Stegostoma tigrinum: one gene and its partners. The main gene of each other region encodes a partner of the protein of the gene in region 4 in a complex. Links are inferred from orthologs where the notes say so. Each region holds a gene or a part of one and is shown on either strand. Other genes may lie near its edges. The genes, in order: polr1h, rrn3, tbp and taf1a.

What was found.
Region 1: taf1a (region 4) and polr1h share a complex: the UniProt entries of both Homo sapiens proteins name them as parts of the pol I pre-initiation complex. The link is inferred for Stegostoma tigrinum from reciprocal best matches to the Homo sapiens genes TAF1A and POLR1H.
Region 2: taf1a (region 4) and rrn3 share a complex: the UniProt entries of both Homo sapiens proteins name them as parts of the pol I pre-initiation complex. The link is inferred for Stegostoma tigrinum from reciprocal best matches to the Homo sapiens genes TAF1A and RRN3.
Region 3: taf1a (region 4) and tbp share a complex: the UniProt entries of both Homo sapiens proteins name them as parts of the transcription factor SL1/TIF-IB complex. The link is inferred for Stegostoma tigrinum from reciprocal best matches to the Homo sapiens genes TAF1A and TBP.

What each region holds. Positions count from the first base shown.
Region 1 is NC_081387.1:14,298,119-14,306,558, reverse strand, and holds the start of polr1h (DNA-directed RNA polymerase I subunit RPA12), read left to right. Parts: upstream 1-5,222; 5' UTR 5,223-5,304; coding exon 5,305-5,333; intron 5,334-8,440. Other genes in the region: pre-mRNA-splicing factor ATP-dependent RNA helicase DHX16, read left to right, coding at 1,938-2,066. UniProt on the Homo sapiens protein: Core component of RNA polymerase I (Pol I), a DNA-dependent RNA polymerase which synthesizes ribosomal RNA precursors using the four ribonucleoside triphosphates as substrates. Can mediate Pol I proofreading of the nascent RNA transcript.
Region 2 is NC_081376.1:51,353,017-51,360,479, forward strand, and holds the start of rrn3 (RNA polymerase I-specific transcription initiation factor RRN3), read left to right. Parts: upstream 1-4,389; 5' UTR 4,390-4,398; coding exon 4,399-4,491; intron 4,492-4,574; coding exon 4,575-4,631; intron 4,632-7,220; coding exon 7,221-7,310; intron 7,311-7,463. UniProt on the Homo sapiens protein: Required for efficient transcription initiation by RNA polymerase I (Pol I). Required for the formation of the competent pre-initiation complex (PIC).
Region 3 is NC_081357.1:94,276,465-94,284,396, forward strand, and holds the start of tbp (TATA-box-binding protein), read left to right. Parts: upstream 1-4,747; 5' UTR 4,748-4,859; intron 4,860-7,932. UniProt on the Homo sapiens protein: The TFIID basal transcription factor complex plays a major role in the initiation of RNA polymerase II (Pol II)-dependent transcription.
Region 4 is NC_081362.1:52,737,542-52,745,519, forward strand, and holds the start of taf1a (TATA box-binding protein-associated factor RNA polymerase I subunit A), read left to right. Parts: upstream 1-4,911; 5' UTR 4,912-5,103; intron 5,104-7,978. UniProt on the Homo sapiens protein: Component of the transcription factor SL1/TIF-IB complex, which is involved in the assembly of the PIC (pre-initiation complex) during RNA polymerase I-dependent transcription.

The DNA of each region.
Region 1 (8,440 bases), on a different chromosome or scaffold from region 4:
GCCTCACAGTGCCAGGGACCTGGGTTCGATTCCACGCTCAGGCAACTGCCTGTGTGGAGTTTGCATGTTGTCCCCGTTTCTACGTGGGTTTCCTCCCACAGTCCAGAGATGTGCACGATAGGGTGGGCTGAGCTATGCTAAATTGCCCATAGTGTTCAGGGATGTGCAGGCTAGTTGGATTAACCATGGGAAATACAGGTGATTTGGGTCCGAGTGTGATGCTGTTCAGAGGGTCAATGTGGACTTGGTGGGCCGAGTGGCCTGCATCCACACTGTAGGAATTCTATGATGCAGGAAAACTCCCCTTCTTCAGGTTTGTGGCCACGTGGAACTTTTTATACCAGAGCTCTAAAGAAATAGGAGTGACTGTGGGCCACCTTTGACCTGCATTATCGTTCAGTGGGAGCGTCGATGCCTCCCATATCCTTTAACTCCCTGATCGATCAAAAATTCCCATGATTCCAGCCTCAAATGGATTCAGTGATGAAGTGTCCATTGCCCTGTGGGATAGCGAATTCCAAATATTCACAGTCCTTTGAATGAAGTCACTTCTTGTCGCCTCTGTCCTTAAAAAAAAGACGATTGGCCCCATGTATCGAGACTGCGTCCCCTTGTTTTGGGTTTCCCCATGTGGGAGAATCACGCTCGTACACTTCAGTGAGACACATTCCCTGGAGGCAACTCCCAGTAAAAGGGGGGACCTACAGCGGCAACCATTACTCTTGGAAGAGATTGTCAACCAGGATTGTATGACCGAGTCCATAGAGTGGGGCATGAGCCTGTGACTTTCCTGACTCTCTCACCAATACCGAGTGCTTGTCAACTGTGGACAATGCGCCACCTAATGATAGAGCCTGGCACTGCACCAACACTCAGTCAGACAGCACCAAAACAGACCCTTCAGTCCAACCAGTTCTTACCGATAAGTTTCCCCAAACTAAACCAGTACCTGTTGCCTGCGTTTGGCCCATATTGCTCTTAAACCTTTAACTAATCATGTATCTGTCCAGCATCTTTTAAATGCTGTAACTGTACCTGCTTCTACCACTTCCTGGAACCACCCTCTGTGTGAAAAGATTATCCCACATGTCCCTTTTAAAATTTTCTCCTCTCACCTTAAAAATATGCCCCCTAGTATTGAAAAATATCCCACCCTAGGGAAAAGACCTTTGCTCTTCACCTTATCTATGTCACTCATGATTTTGTAAACCTCTCTGAGCTCACCCCTCAACCTCCTATGTTCATGATAGAAGTCCCAGCCCATCCACCCTCTCCTTACAACTTAAACCTTCCAGTTCCGGTAACATCCTTATAAACATTTCCTGAACCCTCTCCAGCTTAATAATATCCTTCCTTATAACAGGGCGACCAGAACTGGACACGTTGTTCCAAAACTGACCTCACCAACATCCTGTACAACATCAATATGTTATCCCAAATCCTATACTCAGTGGTCTGCACAGTGAAGGCAAGCAAGCTGTGAATGCCTTATCAATCACCCTGTCCACATGTGACGCAACTTTCAGAAAATTATGCCCCTGAACTCCAAGGTGTCTCTGCTCGACAACACTATCCAAGGCCCTACCATTAACTGGTTAAATCTTGCCCTTGTTTATTTTACTAAAATGCAATATCTCGCATTCGTTCAAATTAAACTCCTTCTGCCATTTCCCAGCCCACTGGCCCAATTGATCAAGATCTCTCTGTAATCTTGGATAACTTTCACAGTCCAAAACCACCACTTCTGGAGTAATCTGCAAACCGTGTTTCCTATATTCTGATCTGTGCTGCTTTTTCTGTTCGGACTGTCAGCTCTACTCCTCTGTCTTTAGCCATCCACATGATGGCTTCCAGAGTGTCCCATCCATCAGCTGAGCCGTGGTGACCTTAAGACTCCATGCAGCACCCCTCAATCTCTCTGTCTGTCTGTCTCTCAGGTGATTGAGATCGACAGCAACTGGCTGTTGGAGGTGGCCCCGCATTATTACAAATCGAAGGAGCTGCAGGATGCGGCCAGCAAGAAGATGCCCAAGAAAGTGGGCAAGACCCGGGAGGAGCTCGGCTGAGGGTCCTGGGTGCGTATCAGACCTGCCATGCCAGGGGCATGAGCCATGCTGGCTGTGCACCCACTCTCCACAGCAGGGTGACAGCCCATCACCAGCATTCACTGCGATTGTGTCGGATTAAATGGAGCAAGTGCTGCCTGAGGGAAGGCCTTGAATCCCCTCGCATCGTGCAGGCACCTCGATGCCAAATTCAGATTGAATTGGAACCACTACCCACCCCCTCCCCGTTCCGTTCCCGGGAGGAATGTTACTCTGCGTTTTGGCCAGCAGCGAGATAGGTTTGGGTGAGAGCGGTGCCTCTCAGTTCATGATTGCCTTTGCCATTGCAGTGCCGTGACCACGGTGGATCTGAGGCACCGGGATCAATAACCAAGAAGGACAACACTCATGATTTCGACGCTGAAGCCACTTGTGTTGTCTGTAGCAGGAGCCTGGACACTCAGGAGCAGTGGCTCATTGTCAGAATTGCACGCATGAGGTCTGTACAGCACAAGCTGTCTGCGGCAGTCCGGACCTGCCGCTTGTTTCAAGTAAAGTTTTGGCACTTTTTTATACAAGAAGAAATACAGTTTGTCTTTCTGTCAGAGCTCTTGCTTTTTTGTTTGTCAGCATTTGTAATCTGTAAAATAGCGGTGCCAAGTGCTCCAGTCCCTTAATTTCCACGGCATCCTCTTGTCAGAGTATCTTTGTGACAGGACTGGGGATCTTTGTCACAGCCATCTATATTCAGAGTCTCACAGGTAGACCTCGTCACAGGGCCCTCACAGCCGACTGTACTCGGGGAATCTCACTGATGGACCCTATCACTGGGTCCCTGCGACAGTCTATATTCAGTATCTCACCGATGGACCCTATCACTGGGTCCCTGCGACAGTCTATATTCAGTATCTCACCGATGGACCTTATCACTGGGTCCCTGCGACAGTCTATATTCAGTGTCTCACCGATGGACCCTATCACTGGGTCCCTGCGACAGTCTATATTCAGTGTCTCACCGATGGACCCTATCACTGGGTCCCTGCGACAGTCTATATTCAGTATCTCACCGATGGACCCTATCACTGGGTCCCTGTGACAGTCTATATTCAGTGTCTCACCGATGGACCCTATCACTGGGTCCCTGCGACAGTCTATATTCAGTATCTCACCGATAGACCCTATCACTGGGTCCCTGCGACAGTCTATATTCAGTGTCTCACCGATGGACCCTATCACTGGGTCCCTGTGACAGTCGATATTCAGTGTCTCACCGATGGACCCTATCACTGGGTCCCTGTGACAGTCTATATTCAGTGTCTCACCGATGGACCCTATCACTGGGTCCCTGCGACAGTCTATATTCAGTATCTCACCGATGGACCCTATCACTGGGTCCCTGTGACAGTCGATATTCAGTGTCTCACCGATGGACCCTATCACTGGGTCCCTGTGACAGTCTATATTCAGTGTCTCACCGATGGACCCTATCACTGGGTCCCTGCGACAGTCTATATTCAGTATCTCACCGATGGACCCTATCACTGGGTCCCTGCGACAGTCTATATTCAGTATCTCACCGATGGACCCTATCACTGGGTCCCTGCGACAGTCTATATTCAGTGTCTCACCGATGGACCCTATCACTGGGTCCCTGTGACAGTCTATATTCAGTGTCTCACCGATGGACCCTATCACTGGGTCCCTGCGACAGTCTATATTCAGTGTCTCACCGATGGACCCTATCACTGGGTCCCTGCGACAGTCTATATTCAGTATCTCACCGATGGACCCTATCACTGGGTCCCTGTGACAGTCGATATTCAGTATCTCACCGATGGACCCTATCACTGGGTCCCTGTGACAGTCGATATTCAGTATCTCACCGATGGACCCTATCACTGGGTCCCTGTGACAGTCTATATTCAGTGTCTCACCGATGGACCCTATCACTGGGTCCCTGCGACAGTCTATATTCAGTGTCTCACCGATGGACCCTATCACTGGGTCCCTGCGACAGTCTATATTCAGTATCTCACCGATGGACCCTATCACTGGGTCCCTGTGACAGTCGATATTCAGTATCTCACCGATGGACCCTATCACTGGGTCCCTGTGACAGTCGATATTCAGTGTCTCACCGATGGGCCCTATCACTGGGTCCCTGCGACAGTCTATATTCAGTGTCTCACCGATGGACCCTATCACTGGGTCCCTGTGACAGTCGATATTCAGTATCTCACCGATGGACCCTATCACTGGGTCCCTGTGACAGTCTATATTCAGTGTCTCACCGATGGACCCTATCACTGGGTCCCTCTGGCAGGATCCTGTCACGATATCCCACTAATGTGAGTGGGAAACCTTCTCCTCTCTGTATCGAATACAGGAGAAGCAAGGCGGGAGGTACAGCTGAAGGATGCTGCTGAAGCGGGAATCGAACCCATGGTGAGGGTCAGTTATTCTGAGCCAAGTGCGATCCAACTGAGCTGCCTGAACCCCGCCCCCCTCCCCCGAAACACCAAGTCAGTGCATGATGAAGAGGTTCCTCCCCTCCACGGGGCGGCGCCGTCGCCATCGAGCGAAGATGTCCCTCCACTTCGTCAGGCGGCGCTGTCGGCGGAGGTTCCTCCCTTCTGTTTGTGTTGTGGGAGGATGGCTGGTCCGACCCGAGCAAGCAACCGGGCTGGAGGGTTCCTCTCCACCGCCGGGAGGCACTGTCCCGGGAGGTTCCAACTCACGCCGCCGCCATAACCGGGCTGGAGGTTTCCTCCTCAACACGGGGAGGCGCTGCCCCTGGAGGTTCAAACACCCACCTCCGCCATAACCGGGCTGGCGGTTTCCTCCTCACCGCCGGGAGGCGCTGAACGTGGAGGATCCAACCCCCGCCGCCGCCATAAACGGCCTGGCTGTTCCCCGGCTCCGCAGGGAGGCGGTGCCCCAGGAGGTCCAATCCCCTCATCGTCGCCGTGACCGGGTTGGCGGTACATCCCCACCACCGGGAGGCGGTGCCCCTGGAGGCGCCATCCCCTCATCGTCGCCGTGACCGGGTTGGCGGTACCTCCCCACCGCCGGGAGGCGCTGCTGGTGGCGGTAGCCTCCCCCCCCTACGCGTATGCGGCCGGAGGGCGATGTTTCCTGTTTCCAAGCCGGGAGCCTGAGCGCTAGGCCGCAGGTGATTCTGGACGTCGAGGCACGTTTACAGTTTCAGGGCCAGGCAGTAGCGGTCGGAGACGAACGGTGCGATTTTGTCTTAAATGGGATGGATGTCGTCGGAGACAGGAAAAAAAGGTTGCATTTGTGTAGCGCCTTTCGCAATTAAGAGCATTTGGAAGCACTTTCTGGATTCTGGAAGGATCGCAGACGAATGGGGATAAGTGGGATCTAACCAACAGTAAAAGTTAGGGCGAGAAACCAGGATTGATGCCGTTGTGTCGGATAATCAGTCCTCATCGGGAAGAATGGCGCAGCACGCTCGATGGGCTGAATGGCCTCCTGCTGCTGCTGTCCTTTCTATCTCTGTGCAAACTGTTTGTCTTTGTGAAGGGAGATTATTGTCGGTCAGGAAATCCGGGGGGTGCGGGGTGCTCCCCACTCCCCTCCCCGTGATCTTCATAAAAACCTCCTCTGTATCCACCCAAAAAGATTAACATCCCATTTAAATACTGACCCTCGGACAGTGCAGCACTCCCTCAGTACTGACCCTCTGACAGTGCGGCACTCCCTCAGTACTGACCCTCTGACAGTGCAGCACTCCCTCAGTACTGACCCTCTGACAGTGCGGCACTCCCTCAGTACTGACCCTCTGACAGTGCGGCACTCCCTCAGTACTGACCCTCTGACAGTGCGGCACTCCCTCAGTACTGACCCTCTGACAGTGCGGCACTCCCTCAGTACTGACCCTCTGACAGTGCGGCACTCCCTCAGTACTGACCCTCTGACAGTGCAGCACTCCCTCAGTACTGACCCTCTGACAGTGCGGCACTCCCTCAGTACTGACCCTCTGACAGTGTGGCACTCCCTCAGTACTGACCCTCTGACAGTGCGGCACTCCCTCAGTACTGACCCTCTGACAGTGCAGCACTCCCTCAGTACTGACCCTCTGACAGTGCGGCACTCCCTCAGTACTGACCCTCTGACAGTGCGGCACTCCCTCAGTACTGACCCTCTGACAGTGCGGCACTCCCTCAGTACTGACCCTCTGACAGTGCGGCACTCCCTCAGTACTGACCCTCTGACAGTGCGGCACTCCCTCAGTACTGACCCTCTGACAGTGCGGCACTCCCTCAGTACTGACCCTCTGACAGTGCGGCACTCCCTCAGTACTGACCCTCTGACAGTGCAGCACTCCCTCAGTACTGACCCTCTGACAGTGCGGCACTCCCTCAGTACTGACCCTCTGACAGTGCGGCACTCCCTCAGTACTGACCCTCTGACAGTGCGGCACTCCCTCAGTACTGACCCTCTGACAGTGCGGCACTCCCTCAGTACTGACCCTCTGACAGTGTGACACTCCCTCAGTACTGACCCTCTGACAGTGCGGCACTCCCTCAGTACTGACCCTCTGACAGTGCGGCACTCCCTCAGTACTGTCCCTCTGACAGTGCGGCACTCCCTCAGTACTGACCCTCTGACAGTGCAGCACTCCCTCAGTACTGACCCTCTGACAGTGCAGCACTCCCTCAGTACTGACCCTCTGACAGTGCGGCACTCCCTCAGTACTGATCCTCTGACAGTGCGGCACTCCCTCAGTACTGACCCTCTGACAGTGCGGCACTCCCTCAGTACTGTCCTTCTGACAGTGCAGCACTCCCTCAGTACTGACCCTCGGACAGTGCAGCACTCCCTCAGTACTGACCCTCTGACAGTGCGGCACTCCCTCAATACTGACCCTCTGACAGTGCGGCACTCCCTCAGTACTGATCCTCTGACAGTGCGGCACTCCCTCAGTACTGACCCTCTGACAGTGCGGCACTCCCTCAGTACTGACCCTCTGACAGTGCGGCACTCCCTCAATACTGACCCTCTGACAGTGCAGCACTCCCTCAGCACTGACCCTCTGACAGTGCGACACTCCCTCAGTACTGTCCCTCTGACAGTGCAGCACTCCCTCAGTACTGACCCTCGGACAGTGCGGCGCTCCCTCAGTACTGTCCCTCTGACAGTGCAGCACTCCCTCAGTACTGACCCTCGGACAGTGCAGCACTCCCTCAGTACTGACCCTCTGACAGTGCGGCACTCCCTCAATACTGACCCTCTGACAGTGCGGCACTCCCTCAGTACTGATCCTCTGACAGTGCGGCACTCCCTCAGTACTGACCCTCTGACAGTGCGGCACTCCCTCAGTACTGACCCTCTGACAGTGCGGCACTCCCTCAATACTGACCCTCTGACAGTGCAGCACTCCCTCAGCACTGACCCTCTGACAGTGCGACACTCCCTCAGTACTGACCCTCCGCCAGTGCGGCACTCCCTCAGTACAGACCCTCTGACAGTGCAGCACTCCCTCAGTACTGACCCTCTGACAGTGTGGCACTCCCTCAGTACTGACCCTCCGACAGTGCGACACTCCCTCAGTACTGACCCTCTGACAGTGCGGCGCTCCCTCAGTACTGACCCTCTGACAGTGCAGCACTCCCTCAGTACTGACCCTCTGGCAGCGCGGTCCACCTTCAGTACTGACCCTCTGACAGTGCAGCACTCCCTCTATACTGACCCTCTGACAGTGCGGCACTCCCTCAGTACTGACCCTCCGACAGTGCGGCACTCCCTCAGTACTGACCCTCCGAAGTGCGGCACTCCCTCAGTACTGACCCTCCGACAGTGCGGCACTCCCTCAGTACTGACCCTCCGACAGTGCGGCACTCCCTCAGTACTGACCCTCCGACAGTGCGGCACTCCCTCAGTACTGACCCTCCGACAGTGCGGCACTCCCTCAGTACTGACCCTCCGACAGTGCGGCACTCCCTCAGTACTGACCCTCCGACAGTGCGGCACTCCCTCAGTACTGACCCTCCGACAGTGCGGCACTCCCTCAGTACTGACCCTCCGACAGTGCGGCACTCCCTCAGTACTGACCCTCCGACAGTGCGGCACTCCCTCAGCTTTGGCCCTCTGACAGTGCGACACTCCCTCAGTACTGACCCTCTGACAGTGCGACACTCCCTCAGTACTGACCCTCCGACAGTGCGGCACTCCCTCAGTACTGCCCCTCTGACAGTGCGACACTCCCTCAGTACTGACCCTCTGACAGAGCGGCACTCCCTCAGTACTGACCCTCCGACAGTGCGGCACTCCCTGAGCTCTGGCCCTCTGCCAGTGCGACACTCCCTCAGCACTGACCCTCTGACAGTGCGACACTCCCTCAGTACTGACCCTCTGACAGTGCGGCACTCCCT
Region 2 (7,463 bases), on a different chromosome or scaffold from region 4:
GGGGGGGTGGAGGGGAGGGGGAGAGGGAGACGGGGGGCGGGGGGGGTGGAGGGAGAGGGGGCGGGGGGGGTGGAGGGGAGGGGGAGAGGGGGGCGGGGGAGGGGGCGGGGGGGGTGGAGGGGAGAGGGGCGGGGGGGGTGGAGGGGAGAGGGGGCGGGGGGGGTGGAGGGGAGAGGGGGCGGGGGGGTGGAGGGGAGGGGGAGAGGGGGGCGGGGGGCGTGGAGGGGAGGGGGGCGGGGGGGGTGGAGGGGAGGGGGAGGCGGGACGGGGGGCGGGGGGGGTGGAGGGGAGGGGAGAGGGGGGCGGGGGAGGTGGAGGGGAGAGGGAGACGGGGGGCGTGGAGGGGAGGGGGAGACGGGGGGCGTGGAGGGGAGGGGGAGACGGGGGGCGTGGAGGGAGGGGGAGACGGGGGGGGCGGAGGGGAGGGGGAGAGGGAGACGGGGGGCGGAGGGGAGGGGGAGACGGGGGAGGGCGACGAAAGGGAGGGGGAGGGGGAGGGTGAGACGGGGGAGGGGGAGAGGGAGACGGGGGGGTGGAGGGGAGGGGGAGACGGCGGGGAGGGCGACGGAAGGGAGGGGGAGGTTGAGACGTGGGGGGTGGAGGGGAGGGGGAGACGGGGGGGAGGGCGACGGGAGGGGGAGAGGGAGACGGGGGTGGGGTGGAGGGGAGGGGGAGAGGGAGACGGGGGGCGGGGGGCGGGGGGGGAGGGGGAGGGGGGTGGAGGGGAGGGGGGCGGGGGGGTGGAGGGGAGGGGGGAGAGGGAGACGGGGGCGGGGGGGGTGGAGGGGCGGGGGAGAGGGAGACGGGGGGCGGGGGGGGTGGAGGGGCGGGGGAGAGGGAGACGGGGGGCGGGGGGGGTGGAGGGGCGGGGGAGAGGGAGACGGGGGGCGGGGGGGGTGGAGAGGGAGACGGGGGGCGGAGGGGGGTGGAGAGGGAGACGGGGGGCGGGGGGGGTGGAGGGGAGGGGGAGAGGGAGACGGGGGGCGGGGGGGGGTGGAGGGGAGGGGGAGAGGGAGACGGGGGGCGGGGGGGGGTGGAGGGGAGGGAGAGAGGGAGACGGGGGGTGGAGGGGTGGAGGGGAGGGGGAGAGGGAGACGGGGGCGGGGGGGGGTGGAGGGGAGGGGGAGAGGGAGACGGGGGGCGGGGGGGGGTGGAGGGGAGGGGGAGAGGGAGACGGGGGGCGGGGGGGGGTGGAGGGGAGGGGGAGAGGGAGACGGGGGGCGGGGGGGGTGGAGGGGAGAGGGGGGGGTGGAGGGGAGGGGGAGAGGGGGGCGGGGGGCGTGGAGGGGAGGGGGGCGGGGGGGGGGTGGAGGGGAGGGGGAGGCGGGACGGGGGGCGGGGGGGGTGGAGGGGAGGGGGAGAGGGGGGCGGGGGAGGTGGAGGGGAGAGGGAGACGGGGGCGTGGAGGGGAGGGGGAGACGGGGGGCGTGGAGGGGAGGGGGAGACGGGGGGGGGTGGAGGGGAGGGGGAGAGGGAGACGGGGGGCGGAGGGGGAGACGGGGGGGAGGGCGACGAAAGGGAGGGGGAGGGTGAGACGGGGGAGGGGGAGAGGGAGACGGGGGGGTGGAGGGGAGGGGGAGACGGCGGGGAGGGCGACGGAAGGGAGGGGGAGGTTGAGACGTGGGGGGTGGAGGGGAGGGGGAGACGGGGGGGAGGGCGACGGGAGGGGGAGAGGGAGACGGGGGTTGGAGGGAGGGGGAGACGGGGGGGGAGGGCGACGGAAGGGAGGGGGAGGGTGAGACGGGGGGGTGGAGGGGAGAGGGAGGGGAGACGGAGGGCAGGGCGACGGAAGGGAGGGGGAGGGGGAGAGGGAGATGGGGGCGGTGGAGGGGAGGGGGAGACGTGGGGGGGGGGAGGGTGAGACGTGGAGGGGGAGGGGGGGGAGGGTGAGACGTGGAGGGGGGGAGGGTGAGACGTGGAGGGGAGGGGGAGACGTGACGGGGGGGGAGGGGTGACGGAGGGGAGGGGGAGGGGTCACGGAGGGGAGGGGGAGACGTGACGGGGGGGGAGGGGAGGGGGAGACGTGACGGGGGGGAGGGGTGACGGAGGGGAGGGGGAGGGGAGACGTGACGGGGGGTGAGGGGTGACGGAGGGGAGGGGAGGGGTGACGGAGGGGAGGGGGAGGGGTGACGGGGGGGAGGGGGAGACGTGACGGAGGGGGAGACGTGACGGGGGGGGAGAGGGGGACGTGACGGGGGGGAGAGGGGACGTGACGGGGGGGGGAGAGGGGGACGTGACGGGGGGGGGAGAGGGGGACGTGACGGTGGGGGAGAGGGGGACGTGACGGTGGGGGAGAGGGGGACGTGACGGTGGGGGAAAGGGGACGTGACGGGGGGGAGAGGGGGACGTGACGGGGGTGGAGGGGTGACGGGGGGGAGAGGGGGGGGTGACGGGGGTGGAGGGGTGACGGGGGGGAGAGGGGGACGTGACGGGGGTGGAGGGGTGACGGGGGGGAGAGGGGGACGTGACGGGGGTGGAGGGGTGACGGAGGGGAGGGGGAGACGTGACAGGGGGACGTGACGGGGGGAGGGGGAGACGTGACGGGGGGAGAGGGGGACGTGACGGGGGGGGAGGGGTGACGGAGGGGGTCGTGACAGGGGGGAGGGGTGATGGAGGCGAGTGGGAGCCTGATGGCGGGGGGTCGGGGTTCTAAAGGGAAGACGGATATCGGGGTGGTGGAGGTAATGAGATGGTGGCCGCGGGTAGGAGATGTAGCGGGGGGGGGGTGGAAAGGGAAGAGGGATGCCGGGGTGGGGGGGGAGGAGATGTTGGTGGAGGAGGGGGTGGTTGGGGGGGGAGGAGCTTGTGGGATTGAGCGGTAGACAGGGGAGGGAACAGGGATGGAGATGGAGGGTAGGGGAAAGGGAAGGGAGGGGCGGAGACAGAGGGTTGAGGAGGAGGGCTGATGGAGGGAAGGAGATGGACTGCGAAGTGACGTCACAATGGGTAGTGGACGGGAGTGGAGGAGGACATGGGGTATACAAGTAGAGATGAGGGGATGGGGAGATAGTGAGATTGTGGGGGTTGGTGGGGAGAAGGTGGTCCTAGTCTCAGAAGGTGGCAAAGAAGTCCCACGCAGCCTAACAGTCGAAGATAAATTTTGGGGAAGGATGCTATGTCAAATTCACCAAAAAGGTTGAGAAGAATGAGTGTGGAAGGGCACCTTTGTCAGTCAAGGGATGAAATTTGTGATTTTGGTTGGAGCTGTTTCAGACTTGTTCCAGAGTTTGAATACCTGACAAGAAAGTTGCCAGTATGAAAGTAATCAAAAATAGTAACAAGTGTGGTGAGGTCAGATCCCGTTCTGAAATGTGACTTAATCATAATTCGCTTTTTATTTAATAAGGTGGTTTATCATTGAAACATAAGCAGGCAAAGCTGATCAAATTTTAAAAATTAAACAAGTTTACTATGCAAAATAAAAGATAAAATTTTACATCCAACTTTAAAGATTTCAAAACAGAAAAGAACACTATTTCATCTCAAACACCAGAGAGAATTCCTGTCTCAATCACATCTATGGGTTTGACTTAATTATTGCTTTCAATTCCTGGTCTTGATCATCTGATAGCTTCTTCCTTGAGTAATCACGCAGAGCTTAGATTTCCTTAGTTTCAGGGTCTGCCAAATACCTCCGATCCTATTTTTCTAACTGAAACGCTTACGCTAAGGTAACTTATTTCCTAACTTTTCCGAACTAATTCCTTTCTCCCAGAGAAACCGTTTCATACATCTGCCTTCATTCAGGATTTCTGCGAACAGAAACCAAAAGCTTCCAAGTGTTGGTGTTTTTGCCTAAGCCAATACAAAAAGCTCCTGACTCTTCTAACAGAAAGCATGCTGATGCTCTTCAGTGTGTACTCTACCGCTGGTCACACTTTCCCAATGCAAACAAATTTGCCTGAACACTTCAGGATGTCTGTCTCTTATGCTAGTTTTTTTTGAAAAAAGCATGACTTCAGAAATGCTGACAAGTTAATCACTAAGGCATGTAAACACACAGACCAAAATCCATTAGTTCAAGATCCAAACTCAAATAATAATAACATCTCACACCTTACGTCACAGAGGGTGATTACATGTATGTTGAGAGAGAATGGCACGTGACAGGAAGCTAAGTTTAGAGGGATAGTATTAACGATGTGGGAGCAACAGGCGGGGATTGAATTTGTGAATTGGCAGGTCCTGATAGAAGCAGAAAGAGTGGGATCAAGATAGAAGAGAAGACCTGGAGGTGCTGGACTTTGGAATGGATTTTGTTAAGGGAGACTTGGCAGAAGGATCAAGGGTGGATTCTTTTGAAGACAGTACGATAACTGATTTAAAAGAGATTACAGAGGGATACATTTACAATGTATAAATAATTCTTCCTATGTTCCTGAAGGCTTCCATTTGACAATGTTGGGAGAAAGTGAGTTCTTCAGTTCCCCACCAAGGAAAGCTGTCAGATTTGGTGGAACGGTTACAGAAATCTTAAAGAAATATAAACAGGTAAAATAAGTTAAACAGGTAAATGTGTAAGAAATTTTCTCACCTTTCTGTAAATTTGATTCAAAAGAGTTTTTTCCCCCTAGGGAGATACTGTGGATTATGATTTGCTGATGACACAACTGGATGATCCAGAAATAAAGGTAATCAACAAATTGTTTAACATGCATCTCATTTGTGCAGCGTTTTCCTGTTATACATATGGAACTTTACAGTTTTAACAATTTGCATTTAATCTGTTAGGTTTGTACTCTGTAATAACATAGCATTTTTAATTTTATGAATATGGTGGATCTGTTTCTCTATATGTACCTACTCCAGATTAGCATGTGCAAGGATTATTCCAATTAGTGTTGGATGAAAGGGGTAGTGTGAGTCTAGATGTTAGGCATAATCTTGACTCTGGAATGAAACAGTGTGAAACCTGAGTTTAGCACAAATTTGAAGTGTAAATGTACACTAGATCAGTCTGTCCCAATGCTAACTGAAATAAATTTTGAGCAGAGGTAATGTGAACTGCAGATGCTGGAGAATCCAAGATAACAAAGTGTGAAGCTGGATGAACACAGCAGGCCCAGCAGCATCTCAAGAGCACAAAAGCTGACGTTTCGGGCCCAGACCCGAAACGTCAGCTTTTGTGCTGCTGAGATGCTGCTTGGCCTGCTGTGTTCATCCAGCTTCACACTTCGTTATCTTAAATTTTGAGCTGCTTTCATCTAGCTTAGCTAGGACCCCAGGGCAACAACATTGACTCACTCGCAATTAGCTGATGCACAACACATGTCTTCAAACTTATTTGTGAAAATTTCCCGGAAATGCTGGCATTCTCACACCACCACACTTCAACTGCTGTCTTGGTCCCAAAGGCCGTGAATCCTTGCCTCCAAAAGGCAATATCATCCACCTAAATTAATGTATGTAATACAAATATAACAGCAGACACATTAGGAAAAGCTCCATGATCTTCTGATGCTATTTGCTCACCACCAATCCATGTTTGGGCAAACAATGACTAAATATAAAATGACTGTTTTAAATTCTCTCATAAAGTAATGTTAATGATTAGGAATGGGAATGATGGACTCAGTGAATAGTGCCCCTGCTTCTCAGCTAGAAGCTACAGGTTCAGGCCACTCCAAGACTTGTTGGTCACAGGAATGTTCGTGATATGAAGGAAGTACATCCACAGTGTGGTTGAACAGGTTGTTGATCAGCCTGGTAATCCTTCTAACACTTCTTCACAATTCTGAAAAATGGGGGGGAAAAAGTCAGTGTCTGAAACAAGCAAACAGACTTTTCAAAAATTCTTCAGCCTTTTGGTGAAATTATACACTGAGGTAATTTTCACTGATCGAGTTACGAACTCCTGGCCTAAAACAGTTTTTCATGTTAATTATAATATCGAATCTAAGTGTGTGAACGGAGATTTAATATGATAACCAGCATCAGCATTGTTACTTAAAATCAATGTTTTGGTCATTTGAAGAAAAATCTGGTCAAAATTTAATTTTGATAGGATTGAAACCTTTCATCATTTAACTGATTCTGTTTCCTTGTAAATTTGTTCTATAGTACGAAGTTTTTGTTTGTATTAAGTTACTTATTTTCTTTTTACTGTATTTCTGTTGTTTCCACACTCATGTTTGAGATGCAGCTTTGTGGATTCACGTTCCACTTAATCTAGATTGTTTCTCCATTGCAGTACTGATGGAGAGCTGCACTGTCAGAGGTGTAACTATTTGGATGAAATGTTAAACCAAGGCTAAGGCAACTTTCTAAGGCGGACATAAACAAATCCAGAACCCAGTTTTGAAGAAGAATTGGGGTTATCCTTGGTGCAAAGACAGAAATTGCTGGAGAATTTCAGCAGCATCTGTAGAGAGAAAAGCGGAGTTAACATTTTGAGTTCAATAACTTTTAAACAGTCCTGTTGTATAAATGCAAATCTGCTTGTCTCTCTTTTCTTAATTTTCTTAACAGAAGTTTTTCTGATTTAGTGTTAAACTGTGGCCCTGTCTGCCTGCTCTGATGATTCAGGAAGAAAGATTCCATGGCAATACTTAGAGTCATGAAGGCTTACAGCATGGAAACAGGCCCTTTGGCCCAATTTGTCCGTGCTGCCCAGTTTACACAATTAATCTAATTCCATTTGCCTGTGTTTGGTCCATATCCCTTCAAACCTATCCTATCCGTGTAATGTTCAAATATTTCTTAAATGACATAACTGTACTCGACTCCATCACTACCTCTAGCAGCCTGTTCCATACACTCATCATACTGTGGGTGAAACAAAATTTGCCCTCTGGACCCATTTATATCTCTCCGTGTCACCTTTTGCCCTCTAGTTTTAGATTCCCTACCACATTTTATTGACCTCCATAAGGTCATTCCTCAGTCTGCAACGCTCCAGGGAAATAAAAACCCAATCTGTCCCACCTCTCTTTGTAACTCAAACCAAGTCCAGACACATCCAGGTAAATCCAGAAAATTCCCCTGGGATCCTGCACACATTTTCTCCCTTGACCACTGCCATCAACAAGGAGATTAGTTGATCCAACTTTATTTGTTTATTTTGCAGTGCACATTGGCGGTGCCATTCATCTACTAAGAGTGACTGCATTTCAAAGCAGTTCTTTATTCTTAGCATGTCATAATGTTTTAACTAAATAGAGTTCACTTAAACTTCAAGGTGTAATAATTATATTGAAGTGCTTATTTCTTTTCTCCCCCAGGATGCTCAAATAATCAACTGGCTTCAGGAATTTCGTGATGCTGTCGCACAATTAACAAAGGATTTTGAACACGTTGTTAGCAAAATACTGGTTAGCTTCTTTGAATTTTTATACACATGAAGATTGGTCAGAAAATGTTTGCTATGTTTTATTGTTGAATAACTCTTATCAATGGGTTTGATTTTTCTTAAATCTGCCATTTTTATATTGACACATGGCAAGTTACAGATGTTAATAAGATAT
Region 3 (7,932 bases), on a different chromosome or scaffold from region 4:
CAGCTACCTAGAATACACCTCCTCCCACCCACCCTCCTGCAAAAATTCCATCCCCTATTCCCAATTCCTCCTCCTCCGCCACATCTGCTCCCAGGATGAGGCATTCCACTCTCGCACATTCCAGACGTCCAAGTTCAAGGACCGCAACATTCCCCCCCGCAGTGGTCGAGAACGCCCTTGACCGCGTCTCCCGCATTTCCCGCAACACATCCCTCACACCCTGCCCCTGCCACAACCGCCCCAAGAGGATCCCCCTCGTTCTCACACACCTCCCCAACCTCCGGATACAACGCATCATCCCCCGACACTTTCGCCGTCTACAATCCGACCCCACCACCCAAGACATCTCTATGTCTGCTTCTTGATCATTAGGCCAACTGGGTGTTTGAAGAAGTCCACAATTGACTTTTGAGGTACTGACAAGAGTTTTTCGTGACAGCAATAGTCCCTCACAGCTACAGCGAAGGTTTTACAAGGATATACAAGCTGAAGAGGAAGACCTGATTCCCATATTTCTGGAGCTGGTAAAGTTGTTCAATTATATTATTCTTCTGGATCTCAGTTAAATTGACAGGCAGCTGAAGAACTGCCAAGCAAAAGTATTGAGGGATAGAAACATCCAGATGAAGGTCAGGAGGCTTAATAGTGACAAAACTCAATTACCTTTCTTTGAAATGCAGAACACTTCAACCAGATCGTGGGACATTAGTCTTCCAAGCAAGTGACTACTATCAAGGAGGTGACTTAGCTCAAGCAGATGTAAATCACAGGCTGAAGAGGCAGGGGAACAGATTTCTGCACAGCAAGTATAGATTCAGCTCTTATCCTGCTTCCACTGTATGCATTGTGGCTGATCCTGCCCCAGGGTGTTGGATGCTCCAAAGGGGTTGTGAAAATGTGACAGGACTGGGCATTTCAAATGAGTCTAAACAAAAAGAGGCACCACTGCTGTTAAGACAGGGAACCCATCCAGAGCAACAGCCTATGATTCTCAAAAGATGTTAAAAACTGGTTGGGCCTTCCATCAAGAGCCAGGCGAGCAAATGGGGGCAAGGTTCCTTCAGGAATCTTATGTAGAAATACCACAGACATGCTCTACAGTGAGAAATTTGGCAAGATAGAAGTGCTGTGCCTAACTGACACAGGAATGGTGATGTCAAATGTTGATCACGAACTTTTCTGTGACCATCTTGCTGAGAAATGTTGCTATCTCTTCTTTCATCCAGGTGTCTACTTCACACGAGTCCGACAATCTCTATCAAGCTCTCCCTACCTGCCCTCAATCTCTCGTTTCATAGCTTGGATATTCTGGTAGTTCATGACCTGATCAATACTCGTGTGGAAATAAGGAAATTGAGCATGTCCATGGTCAAATATGTTAAAAACTTTCCAGGTATTTTTGGAAAGCATGTGACTGCAATGAGTAGATTAAAGTTAGCAGACGGGGCGCAGGATTCTTCAACTCTGCTTTGCACACTTAAGATGTAATAGCCTGTACAGGACCACAGAAGGTTGTAGTATAGGGGATTGGGTTGTCCTACCTACTTGCACCATCGCTGTTCTTGAATTGTCAGACTAGCATCTCCAACTGGTGAACATCAGGCCATTGATTACAGTTTTACAAAGACTCCTTTATGCCACACAATCTAATACTTCTTTGATGTCAGGGACACCACCTCACCTCTGTAATTCAGCTCCTTTGTTCGTATTTGGACCAAGACTGCAATGAGGCCTGGAAATCCATAATCCTGGCAGAAGCCAAGCAGAGAATCTGTGAGCTAGTTTTGACTAAATAGATGCTACCTGTTAATATGATTTTTAATCCTTCTTTCATTCACTTTGCTGATGATAGAAAGCTTGCTGATTGGGCAGTAACTGGCTGGATTGATTTTCACCTTTTTTTGTGAACAGGACATACTTTGCTCAAGCAATGTTTCAAATTGTTGAGCGGATGGCTGCATCACAGCTATACCAGAGCTTAGCTAAAATTAGTTTTGCAGCAGAAATTAGTACTGCAGCCATGAACAGACTCCACATCCAGTATGCTCAGTTGTTTCTTGATACTATGTACAAATTAGGCCACTCAGCATGCTCTGCCATTCAAGGCAAAACTTATGTCCTCCCAAAGGAAATATCATTAGTTTTCCATTAGCTAACCTCTGTTAGGAGGTGATGGCATAGTGGCAATTTCGCGAGTCATGATATATAAATGGTCACTAATATTTTGAGGACATGTGTTCAAATCCCATTATGGCAGATGAATGAAATTTGAATTCAATAAAAAGCTAGCTTGACAGCAAGAAATGAAGCTGCCGCTGATTGCTGTAAAAATCCATCTGATTCACTCATGCCCTTTTGGGAAGGAAAACTATCATTATCTGACCCAGCCTACATGTGATTTCAGACCATGAGACTGACTCTTAACTGCCATCTGGGCAATTAGGGATACAAAACAAATGCTGGACTAGCCAGCAACACCTACATCCTAGGAATGATTGCATGATAAGCAGCACAAATCAACATAGATTGGGTGCATTGCGAACATACTTCCAATACTAATTGCAAAACAATGGATTCAAATAGTAGAGTAGTTGTGTAGTTTAAGCTTGACTCGGTAGTTTGCAATCATTTCTGAATCAGAAGTTATGGGTCCCAATCCCACTCGAATTTTAACATACAAATCATGCTGATGCTTCACTGCAATACAGAAGAACTACTATTCACCTGTAGATGGAAAGGGATATCCCAACAATGAGAAGAGGTAACATATAAGTACAAGCTGATTCTTATAAACCTGTGACTATATGAATACTTATTCACAAACCTTGCCTGCAGATATTGTGTTCTAGCAACTGCCACTTCAAATGGGCTAAACTTGCCACAGGCCAACAGGAACTCAGGGCTGCTTTAGCTTAAAAGAGAAAGTCAGAAGTCACATGACACGGGGTTATAGATTAGATTAGATTCCCTACAGTATGGAAACAGGCCCTTCGGCCCAACAGGTCCACACCGCCCCTTGAAGCATCCCACCCAGACCCATCCCCCTATAACCCGCACACCCCTGAACACTACAGGCAATTTAGCATGGCCAATCCACCTACCTTGCACATCTTTTGGATTGTGGGAGGAAACCGGAGCACCCGGAGGAAACCCACGCAGACATGGGGAGAATGTGCAAACTCCACACAGACAGTTACCTGAGACTGGAATTGAACCCGGGTCCCTGGCGCTGTGAGGCTGTTATAGTCCAACAGGTTTTTACAAAATCACAAGCTTTCAGATTGCTGCTCCTTTGTCAGGCAAAGTGCCAATTACAGTCAAAGTTTTACAGTCAGAAAGAGACCATTTGGCCTACACGCCTGTCATCATCCACCTATCTACTGAAGGCCCATTTCCCAGCAGTTGGTCATTCATGTTTTAAGTGTTCATCCCAACATTTCTTAAATGTTGTCAGGGTTCCTGCTTCTACCACCCTTTCTAGCAGCAAGTTAGATACCCTCCACCTATTAATGTACCTTATAATTTTGGACACTACAATCAGATCTCTCTTCAGCCTTCTCAGCTCTAAGGGAAACAACCCTAAACCGATTTCTCTTCGTAGCTGAAATGTTGTAGGCTGGGCAACGTTCTGGTGCATCTCCTTTGCACTCTCTCTGGTGCAATCACGTCCTCCCCATAGTGTGGCAGCCAGTAATGCACACTATACTCCTGCGGCCTAGCTTCATATACTGTTCCATCATAACTTCTGTTCTTAAATATTCAATGCCTTGACAAATAAAAGCAAGTATCCCATATACCTCTTTAAACACCTTATCCACTGGCTCTGCTGTTTCAACAATCAGTGGACATTCCAAGCTGTACTTCCCTTACTTTGTTAGTCCTTCCAGATAAATCATCTCACATTTAGCCAGATTGAATTCTATTTGTCACTGATATCCTTCAACAGCCTCGGCTTTCCTCTTTGCTACTTACTGCACCAATTCCTGAAGGATGCCCTTTAGGGAAGGAAACTGCCATCATTACCTGGTCTGGCCACAGCAACGTCACTGACTCTGGGCAATAAATGCTGCCTAGCCAGCGACGCCCTCAACCCGTGAATGAATAAAGATATATAAAATTATATAGATAACACAGTGTGGGGCTGGAGGAATACAGCAGGGCAGGCAGCATCAGAGGAACATGAAAGCTGACGTTTCGGGTGGGGACCCTTCTTCACAAATGTGTTATCTCAGACCCCAGCATCGGCAGTTCTTACTATCTCTATGAAATTATGTACCCGTGTCCAAACTCCGCACTCCCCCGGCGATTACCGAGAGCGTCCATCCTAGGCGTTCACCACTTGCCACATTAACTCAACGACAAACAGATTCACGAATACGGATCGAATAACTCTCTTGCCTCGTCGGTCAAACATATTATTAACAAAAAAAGTGCTGAAATGAAACAAAAAAACTTTGCTGTAAATGCCTAGATGTTACTCCCCCACAGAGAATAAATCTGTACTGTAAAACTAGGAGACCTTACTGAAACCCCGGAAGGAGATTCGATGAAAAAAAAGCTTTCGCATTCATCGAAGCCCCTCAGATGCTGCGAGTTTAAAGGAAAGAAATCCTCTTCCAAACGGTCTCATCCCAGGTCCATTCAATAACGGTTAGGCTTGGTGAAACATCCTCCCCCCACCCCGGTAACCAAAAGCAGCCTCTTCCCGCCTCCTCGCGAGCGAGAATAGGTCACGTGATTGTGCGCGCTCCCACGCAGTGGCGGCTGGGAATGGCTGGCCCACGGTTCCAAGCACCAGCTGGAAGTGACGGGGTTGCCGGGTGATCGAGCGCGAGCAGCAGGGGACATTGAGTTTCTTGGTGAGTCAGTGGCCGATGGAGAGGGACAATGTCTCCTCAAAACAGCTCTTACAGTTTCCAGGCTGGGGAATCTGAGGACAGCTGTTGTCGTTGCCTGTGCTATAGCTTGGGCCTGTACCGGCTGTTGCGTGCAGTCCCCCGGTGTTCAGATGGATTACGAAAGAGTCTGGTTGAACGTGGGGGTTGTTGGAGACTGGAGGAATCGACTGGTCCCGCCGGGGTTGATGGTGTTCTCAAGAGAGCTGTGTGTAAACAAATGGTGCATGTTTGTATTTATCGCTCCCTCTCGACCTCTGTCCTATTCTTTCCCACCATCTCTCTCACCACTTTCCCACAACCCCGTTCCCACCCCCCACCATCTCCAGGCCACCCAATTTTCCATCTCCTTTTTCACCAACCTCGGTGATATCATCCATTTTAGACTCTGTTTCCCTCCTCTTTATTTCATTTTCTTGTACCCATTGCAGCTTCCCTGTTGATGCTCTCCTCAATGACATTCTATTTGGCATCCGCTATCTCAGCCACCTGCTCCTTTGGGACCCTCCCTCTAACAGAGGGTGGCACGGTGGCTCACTGGTTAACACTGCAGCCTCACAGCGCCAGGGACCTGGGTTCAATTCCAGCCTTGGGCGACTGTCTGTGTGGGGTTTGCACGTTCTCCGTGTCTGCGTGGGTTTCCTCCGGGCACTCCGGTTTCCTCCCACAGTCCAAAGATATGCAGGCTAGGTGGATCGGCCATGCTAAAATTGCCCGTAGTGTTCGGGGTGTGTGAGTTATACAGGGAGGGATCTGGGTGGGATGCTTCAAGGGGTGGTGTGGACTTGTTGGGCTGAAGGGCCTGTTTCGATGCTGTAGGGAATCTAATCTCACCAATCCCTCACTCTTGACATCCCCACTCCTCATTGACATCCACTGCCTCTCACCACCAACCCACCTTTCTGATACCAACTGCCTCACCTTAGCTTCTATGGTACCCACTGGCCCATTCTACTTGATGTCACCTTGGCACCCAACATCTTGTAACCATTATTGTTTATTTTGTAAAGCTATGATAGTGAGTAGAGTGGAGTTTTTTATTATATGTTTTATTGAGATTGGTCTCTAGATTAAACTGTAATAATATAAAACATAGGTACTAAGTTAGCCTTGAGCAGTTTTTTTAAGGGCAGTTAAGAATGTGTGCTATTTTCTGGGTCTGTGGATAGTCAAGATGCAAAGATGGCCTTTGGAAGACATGGTCTTCCTGTCAGATGTGGGAGATTAGGGAGTGTTTCCATGTAACTGATGACTTTGTTTGCAGAAAGTGTGCCTGGTTGTGAATCCTGTTGGATCGCATGGATTAGTTGGAGTGGCAGTTAGAGGCAATGAGGAACTAACGGAAGCTAAGGAATATGATAGATGGCAGCTTGTAAGAAGGGAGAAAAACCACAGAAACAGTCAGGTACATGGGTTACCCACCAGGAAAGATAGGAAGTGAGGCATGACGTCCTGGAGTCTTCTGTGGCTATCCCCATCTCAAATAAGTATGCTGTTTTAGAAAATGTAGGGGGTGATGGATTCACAGGGGAATGTGGCGTGGACAGCCAGGTTTCTGGTACAGAGGTTGGCTTTAATGTAAGGAGGAGTACACCAGGTTCCAAGCAAAGTAATAGGGAACTGTGTAGTCAGAAGCACAGATGGAAATTTGTGGCCAACAGTGAGAAATCTGAATGCTGTGTTGCCTCCCTGGTGCAGGAATCAAGGATATCTTGGAGAATGTGCAGAATGTTCTCAAAGGGGAGAGAGGACAGCAGGAGGTTCCTGTACACGTGAGAACTAACAACATAAGGGGAAAGAATGAGATTCTGAGGAGAGTATATAAGATATTAGGCAGCAACTTGAAAAGGAGGTCCTTGAGGGTAATATCTGGATTACTGCTGGTACCACTGGCTAGTGAGCGTACAGGAAGATGGAGCAGATGAATCCATGGCTGAGGATCTGGCACGGGGTGAAGGATTGACATTTTTGGATCATTTAAATGTCTTCTAGGGTGGAAATGACCAGATTAAGAAGGGTGGATTGCACCTGGATTGGAAGGGGTTAATATACTGGCGTGGGATTTACTAGAGCTGCTTGGGAGCATTTATACTAGTGGAGGGAGGGAAGAGGCAGGAGCAATGTAGAGAATGAGGTAGGACTGATAAATTAAACAGCATTTATTTCAATGCAAGAGCCCTAATAGGTAAGGCAGATGAACTCCATGCGAACGTGGGACTGAGATATAGCTATTACAGAGACGTGGCTTGGGACTGGACACGATTACTAACTTAATGTTCCAGGGTATAGATGATATAGGAAGGGATAGAAGGGTGATGCAAGAGAGGAGGGGGAGTGGAGTTTTTGATTAGGAATAATATTTACAGCTGTACTTAGGGAGAATATTCCTGGGAGTCCATGCAGGGAAGCTAGTGGGTGGGACTGAGAAATAAGAAAGAGATGATCACCTTATTGGTATTGTACTATAAACCCCAATAGTCAGCGGGAAATTGAGAAACAAATTTGTAAGGAGATCTCCGTTATCTGTAAGAATAATGGGGTGGTTATGGTAGGGGATTTTAACTTTCCAAGCATAGATTGGGACTGCTGTGGTGTTAAAGGCTTGGATGAAGAGGAATTTCTTAAGTGTATACATGAAGATTTTCTGGTGCAGTATGTGGATGGACCTGCTCTTGGGAAATAAGGTAGGACTAGTTACTAAGATTTCAGTGGTGGAGCACTTTAGGCCACTGACATTATTCCGTTTAGTTTTAAAATAGTGATGGAATAGGATAGACCGGCTTTAAAAGTTAAAGGTCAAAATTGACCTTCCTCCAATTTAGAAGGTATGAGGCAAGACTCCCAAAAGTTGACTGGGGTGTTTGCAGGTCAAGGGATGGCTGGAAAATAGGAAGCCTTCAAAAATGTGATAACAAGAGTCCCGGGACAGTATGACTAGAGAAATTGAGGTTTTGGTCAGGAAAAAGAAGGAAGCATATATAGCAGAGATTGAGTGAATGAGAGATAACAAGGTGTAGAGCTGGATGAACACAGCAGG
Region 4 (7,978 bases):
AAGCCGGGGCTGGGAAGATTTTGGAATTGGTAAAGTCCATGTTTAGGCCATTGTGCTGTAGGCTCCCAAGGCAGAATATATGAGATGCTACTCCTCCAGTTTCCGAGTGGTGTCAGTGTGACACTGGAAGAGGCCCAGGATGGACATGTCGCCCAGGGAGTGGGAAGGGAAGTTGATGTGGCTCATGACTGGAAGGTGTTGTCATTTGTTGTGAACACAGCAGATGTTCTACAAAGCAGTCTCTGAGCCTCCACTTGGTCTCACCGATGTAGAGGAGGCCACATTGAGAGCAGTGGATGCAGTCGATCACATTGACGGATGTGCAGGTGAACCCCTGTGTAATGTGGAAGGTTTGTTTGGTGTCTTGAATGAAGGTGAGGGATGAAATGTAGGGGCAGGTGTAGTACACCCTGCGGTTGCAGGGAAAGGTGCTGGGTGTGGTGGGGCTAATGCGGAATGTGGAACACTCCCTGCCTCCATTCACCTATCACCATCCCACCTATTTTCCCCAGCCCTACCCCTTCTGTGCCCATTTATTTCTGAGCTCCCTTCACCCCCACCTCCACCATTTCTGAAGAAGGGTCCCGACCCGAAACCTCAACTTTCCTGCTCCCCTGATGCTGCCTGGCCTGCTGTGTTCATCCAGCTCCACGCTGTGTTATCTCTGACTCCAGCATCTGCAGTTCTAACTATTGCCTAGCAGGGAGGGAAATGTGGGTTGGTGACAGTTCAGGGCATCTCAAGGCCAGGAAGTCTGATTGCAGTATCTGTGCTTAAAATACTGTTTCGTTTATAATAATAATTGGTCCTTGTTAAAAGTTAATAACTGATAGTGTCAGTTTCATAGTTTTTAAAAATCTGTTGTAATTTATTCACCTTTGTTTTATTTTCTTGTTTATTACTTTTGCCTTTTTTATTTCGTGAGATACACACCTTTATATTTTAATAACTACAGAGATTCTTTGCCCTGAAACACCTGCCTCCTGGTTTATCACTCCACCTTCACAAACAAGTCCTATGTTAGAACCAAATACCTGGTGGATGACCCAGACTACCTGAGAGTTCTGCCAGGGTTACCGAGCACAGAAACCAGAACTCCCTACTGTTTCTCCACCAATTTCTGTTTTTTTTTGTTGTAAATTTGTGTGCTGTGCACTGAAGGCATCAACATGTCATCAGTTGCTGCCCTTGTCACTCTCGTAATCAAACTGTGATTCCGCATTTCTTGACAAGGCCAAGATGTATTGAATAGGATTTAACTGTAATATAGCTTCATTTTATATAACCTCATGTACTTTGCCAGAAAGTTTAATTTTACCGCTTTCAAAGATCCTTCCATTAAAGGGACATTACTGTTTTCCTGAAACTAAAGCAAGCTGTTTCAACTACGCTTTCTTTTCCCTCTAAATAAATTCAGTTTCTGGATCTTAAACAAGCCATGGACTTTGCAATTCAGAAAAAAAAATGTACCCAATTTAGAATTAACAGGAATAATTGATGCATGAGAAGATTTTTTTAGCCAGAAGCTCTAACATAACAGCACAATGCAATAGTGACCTCATGCCTAAATGGCACTGATGAGAACTTCTGCTTTGAGCAAATATTTTCTCTTTGCGTACCAGGGAAGTCATTTGGAACAGTGCAAGCATCTGATAGTTGAAAACAAATCCCACCTATGAGTACGTGTTGAATTTTGCAAATGTCACAGATTGCTGTGACATACTCCAATATTGACGCACATTTCATTACAGCCTACTTGAATCGTGTCCCACAATATAATGGCTTATCTCTATTTTAGGGAATTATACATGTTGTTTCTTTTGAGTGTTATGAATTTTTTTACAGTGACGTTACAGGTGAGCATTTGCAAGTGCTTTCAAGTTATCAACGAAACAACTTAATTTAAACACAGAAAAAGTTGTTATTAATAATGATAAACTGTCATGTGGAAACTGTGTATGATTGTGATTAACCAGGAACTGACATCTATTCTGTATCTATCACCCGACACTCTTTAAATGAAATGATATAACAGAAGGAGATAAACATTTTACATTTTAGTTATTTCTTACTTTTTGCAATTCTCAAAATAATTCAAATCTGTACCTTTACTGTTCAGACTTATGAAGTTCAGGTTGATGGGTAACAAGTCAATACACCAACTAACTCGCACTTTTACTCTCAACCACAGAGTTGTTGATGCTGTCATCAGTGAATACCTCCAGCTCAATTGTGCTTTTGTCTTTTCCCATTGCTGGCGTCTTATTAGGGGCCAGTCAGCACATCTGTGTCCATTTAACTTATGAGATCACTACTGCATTGTGCTGGTATATTATAACTTCGCGCCAAACCAAGCTTTTCATACATTAGTTGTGCTTACCCACTCTAAATTGGGTGCATTCTTTTCTGTACTCCAAATTCAATGGCTTGATTAAAATGCCAAAGGAGGTGCTCTGCATCCAATCGAGTGTCGAGCGGGGTCACCATGTGGCTGAAAAATTACGAGAAAGTGGAAAGTAAGTTAGAGATGACTACAAACTTAAAGATTGCTGTTCTATCAATCTTTCTTTATTTGTTATGGAAGGCTTAAAAGAAGTCGATGAATTGGTGTCAAAAAACATGTCAACATTGCCAACTTCACCAGCAGAATCTGCTGTTCCACACAGCCATGATCTCATTGGCTGATTTTCCTTTGACCTTCAAAACTGCTTTAAAACATGCCCAAACCTTTTGCTGTCCAAGTAATGCAGTGGGCAGTGAAAGTTCCCAACATTTGGGTCCTTAAAATGCTCATATTCGTGTCAATTGCACACTTAAAAATGGTGGTCTGGGCTCCGATTTACAAGCCCAGTTGCCTTCAGTGCTGACTACCTGACACTGGTGTCTGAAATCACATTGTCTACCTGCTGTGGGCACTATGTTTTACTTTACTGCATGGTTGGGTGGGGGAGAGGGGAAGTGTGGAAACGAGAAATGGGAAGAATTCTCCAAAGAAGCTGTTGTAGATGCAGGAAATTATCTGGTTGTTACTGGATAGATACAAGTGGATTCAGGTAAGGGCAGTCTTACTCAGACACATAACAAAGCTGAGATGTTAGAGGGGGATGGTAGGGCCAAACATGTTAGAAGTTGCAGATAGGTGGAGAATGATGAAGATGGTAATGCCACACGTTGAGGGAGCTAGGGCTTTTTTTATTGGAATGAAGAAAGATGAGGTGACTTGGTAGAGGTGTACAAGATGATGAGGATAGATAGAGTGGATAGTCAGAGACCATTCCCCAGGGCAGAAATGACTATTACGAGGGGGCATAATTTTAAGGTGATTGAAGGAAGGTATGGGGAGATGCCAGACGTAGATTCTCCCCACAGCGTGGTGGGCATGTGGAATGTGCTGCCAGCAGTGGTAGTGGAGTCAGATACTTTAGAGGCTTTTAAGCGACTCTTAGATAGGCACATGGAAGATAGTAGAATGTAGGGTATATAAGGTAGATTGGTCTTAGTAGGACAACAGGTCGGCACAACATCGTGGGCTGAACAGCCTGTAATGTGCTGTCCTGTTCTATGTTCTATGTCACTTTGATAACGTCCATTTCAGTGCTGCAGCTGGGGGAAAATCCTGCTTAAGGAGCTACTAGAGATTATTGATCATCAAGTCACAAAAAATGGTCTCAGAAACACGAGCTCACAAGCAATTCAAGGACTTTGGAAATGACATAGAGGATGAAAGTGGAACTGTGGCTTGCAAGAAGGAGTCATGCTTTAAATATTTTGGGGAGCTCAGTCTTCAATGGAAGTTGGTAGAATATTTTGTGTCATTCAAGTTGACAGTGTAGACATCATTCTTTCCCTGAGCAAACTTAATCTTTGCCAAAATTTCAGCAGAGGGAAAATTGAATCCTGTTTCTTTGGTTGAACAAGAGTTTGTTTGGAAACACACATACTGAAAATATTGCTAGCTAGTTTGCTCTCATGGTTTACTTTCACTGTCTTTATTATATTTTTAGTCCTCCTTTGCTGGATTCTGAATTTATCCCAATCTTTGCGGCTATAACTGACAACACTCGCTGGCAACAAAGCAGTGAGCACATTTCAGTGGAAAACATGGTGTGAGGGCTAAGGCAGGCACGAAGACAGGAAGATTTTCAGTGAAAAAGTTGCAATAACTGAGGTTCTCAACGAAAGAGAAGCTGCCAGAACAGGCAAGCAGACAAAGATGTGTTCTGGTGATAATGATATGGAGGTACGTGGTAAGTCTGAAGACTGCGGAATTTCTTGCCTTACGTGACATACCGCACTTAAAAGCAGAACATTGCGGATGCTGGAAATCTGCAAAGTGCTGTAAAAACTCACAGAAATACTCATCAGGTTAAGCACCTTTCGTCTTCTAAAATGTTGCCAGTCCGACTGAGTTGTTGCACGCTTTGGATTATATTCAGTCGTAGAGTTCAGTATTTTGTTTCACGTTGTCTGTGCAAGTGGTTTAACACGTCTTTACCTGCCAAGTCTTATTGGTTTGATCTTGAATCGCCTTTTATTCTTGAAAATAAACATTGGTTTATTTCTACAAGTTCAACTAGATAAGCAGTAAATTCCAAAAAAAAACCCACTATGCATAATCGTCATGTTTGTTTGATGGTAAAATGTTTGTTTGAATGGAATTTGAACACATCACGATAACTGTAAATGTTAAATACATTAAAGCGGTGACTATGTACCGGTTGTTATTCTGAAAATATTTTTACTGAGCTTTATCCCAGATCACGAATAAATACTTCCAAGTCACTACCCCCTGTTACTCAATGGACAAAATCGATACTCCCGAATGCGGATGGCTGCCTTCAGAGAAAATGCAGCAGATGTTCAACATGACCCCGGAAGGAGTTTTAGATTGTCAGCACGTGGGAAGTAAAACTGTCCTTTTCCTATGATTGGAACGTTACCCTGGGAATGGAACGTTGCCCGGATGGGGAACAGAATCCTGAGCGTGCCCAGGCAACGGGGTAAATGATGTGGAGGAGATTGTGCTGAACGTTTGGTCACTACTGAGGAAAATCTTTTGGTGTTATAACTGCTTAATCAGAGGAGGGGAAAAGTGATCAGAAGGTGCGTGGAGACCTTCATTGGAAGTTCTTGAAAAAAAACTTAGTATTTGTTTAGCTTTTGAAAACTTCGTGATTTTTATGCTTTCGTTTTAAAAAAAACTAAAACCGAAATAGCGAAGAAATGATGGTGGTATTCAGCCGTAGAGTTCAGTATTTCAAGTTGTCTAGAAAGTAGTTAGTTGTAGAAGGGGTTTAATTTTTTTGCGTATTAATACCATCACTAAAAGGTCATTAGATGCAAAAAAAACAGGAAATTGCATTTGTTTATACTCCCATCACCTTATAGTCTTTCTTCACTTCTAATTTATTCATCCCTGTACTACTTCATATATTTATCTCACCTCCCCTAATTGCATCATTGCCAGCCATCTCTGATAAAATGAGTCTTGTGGAGCACTGGTTGCCTGTAGGCTAGAAGGCCTCTCTCTCTCTTTCCTGTGAAAGTACTTGAAGCCAAATAAAGTTGATTGCGTTATCCTGTCAGTTGCTGTAAGCTGTTGCATTACAGCAATAAGTCAGAGATTTTTTAATTATGAACAAGCCGCTCTGTGTCTCTTGCAAAGTAGAAGAACCTGAAGGAAAAATTCAGAGAACTAAAGGCTTTTGGAAACAAAGTTAACAATGCATCAAATCCTAGGGACTGATGCTTTGAACTGATTGCCACAAGTTTTCTTCATTCCACTGATGATACTTTTTTGTTTCATATTTGTTTTGGTGCTTTTTGAAGGGGGTTAAAAGTTTAGCTAGTAGTGCTAGCCTGTGGTTCATATTTGTTTATCTGTTGCTGGAATCAATCCATTTGTGATTATATAGTATTTCTTGTTAAGTGGAGAAACCGACTGTGTGTTTTCTGTTAATCTGAGTCTGCAAGACAGATAAACTGGGGACTTAAGTAAAAGCGAGTTTTGAGAAGATTTATAGCTCAGGTTGAGGTTCTGGATGTGAGTTTGCTCACTGAGCTGGAAGGTTAATTTTCAGACGTTTCGTCACTTTTTTTTATTTGAAAAAATATACTTTATTCATAAGATGTACAAAAAATAAAACACTTATACACCTACCCAGTCATGCAAGCCGCTCCGGGTTACCCAGGGGGTACGTACACCAACTAAAGGAAAAAAACAAACAAAGAAGAAACAAAAAACAAAGCAAAGAAAATACCCCGGCAGTCGTCACCCCGCACAGTCCCAGTTGGCCCCCTGACCAGTTGGGGAAAGCGCCAGCTGGGCCCAGTTACCAGATAGGGTTCCTTTTTCTATTCAGGACGAGGGGTTTCACACCGTGGTCTTTCCCCACCGCGCATTGGCGGCGGCGGCTGCCTCAAGCTTTAGTGCGTCCTTCAGCACGTAGTCTTGGACCTTGGAGTGCGCCAGTCTGCAACATTCGGTCGGGGCCAGTTCTTTCAGCTGGCAGACCAAGTTGAGGGCAGACCAAAGAGCGTCTTTCACCGTATTGATGGTCCTCCAGGTGCAGATGATGTTGGTCTCGGTGTGCGTCCCGGGAAACAGCCCGTAGAGCACGGAGTCCCGTGTCACGGAGCTGCTCGGGACGAACCTCGGCAAATACCACTGCATCCCCCTCCAGACCTCCTGCGCATAGGCACACTCCAGAAGGAGGTGATCAACAGTCTCGTCCGCCCCGCAGCCATCTTGAGGGCAGCGTGCAGTGGCGCAGAGATTCCAGGCATGCATAAAGGATCTCACTGGCAGAGCCCCTCTCACCACCAGCCAAGCAATGTCCTTGTGCTTGTTTGAAAGTTCTGGCGATGAGGCATTCTGCCAAATGACTTTGGCAGTCTGCGTGGGGAACCACACGACGGGATCCATCCTCTCCTTTTCCCGAAGAGTCTCGAGGATACTACGTGCTGACCACTGCCTGACGGCCTTGTGGTCAAAGGTGTTTCCTTTCAAAAATTTCTCCACGAAGGACAGGTGGTACGGAACGGTCCAACTACTGGGAGCGTTCCGCGGCAACGAGGCCAGGCCCATCCTTCGCAACACCGGGGACAGGTAGAACCTCAGTAAGTAGTGACACTTGGTGTTTGCGTACTAAGGATCTGCGCACAGCTTGATGCAGCCGCAGACAAAGGTAGCCATCAGGGCGAGGGTGGCGTTTGGTACGTCCTTTCCCCCGTTTTCCAGGTCTTTGTACATGGTGTCCCTACGGACCCGGTCCATCCTCGACCCCCAAATGAAGTGGAAGATGGCCCGGGTGACCGCAGCGGCGCAGGTCCAGGGAATAGGCCAGGCCTGCGCCACATACAACAGTACCGAAAGCCCCTCGCACCTGACAACCAGGTTCTTACCAGTGATGGAGAGGGACCGGAGCGCCCACCTGCCCAGCTTCGTGATACGCTCCTCCCAAGTCTTAGTGCACGCCCCAGCTCCGCCAAACCAAACACCCAGCACCTTCAGGTAGTCTGTCCTGACGGTGAAGGGGATGAAGGAGCGGTCGCCCCAGTTCCCGAAGAACATGCCCTCGCTCTTACGCCGATTGACTTTGACACTCGAGGCCAGTTCAAACTGGCCGCAGATGTCCAATAGCCTACTCACTGACCGACGATCGGTGCAGAAGACGGCGACGTCGTCCATGTACAGGGAGGTCTTGACCTGAAGGCCTCCGCTGCCTGGGATAGTCACGCCCTTCAGGCTCACGTCCTTCCTGATGGATGCGGCGAAGGGCTCCATACAGCACAGGAACAAGGCAGGAGAGAGCGGTCAGCCCTGCCTGACTCCAGATCTGACGGGAAAACTGTCCGATTTCCACCCGTTGATCGAGACTGCGCTAACAATGTTGGTGTAGAGCAGCCGGATCCAATTGCGGATGCCCTCCCCGAACCCCAAATTGGAGAGGACGTCCCTCATGTAAGCATGAGAGAC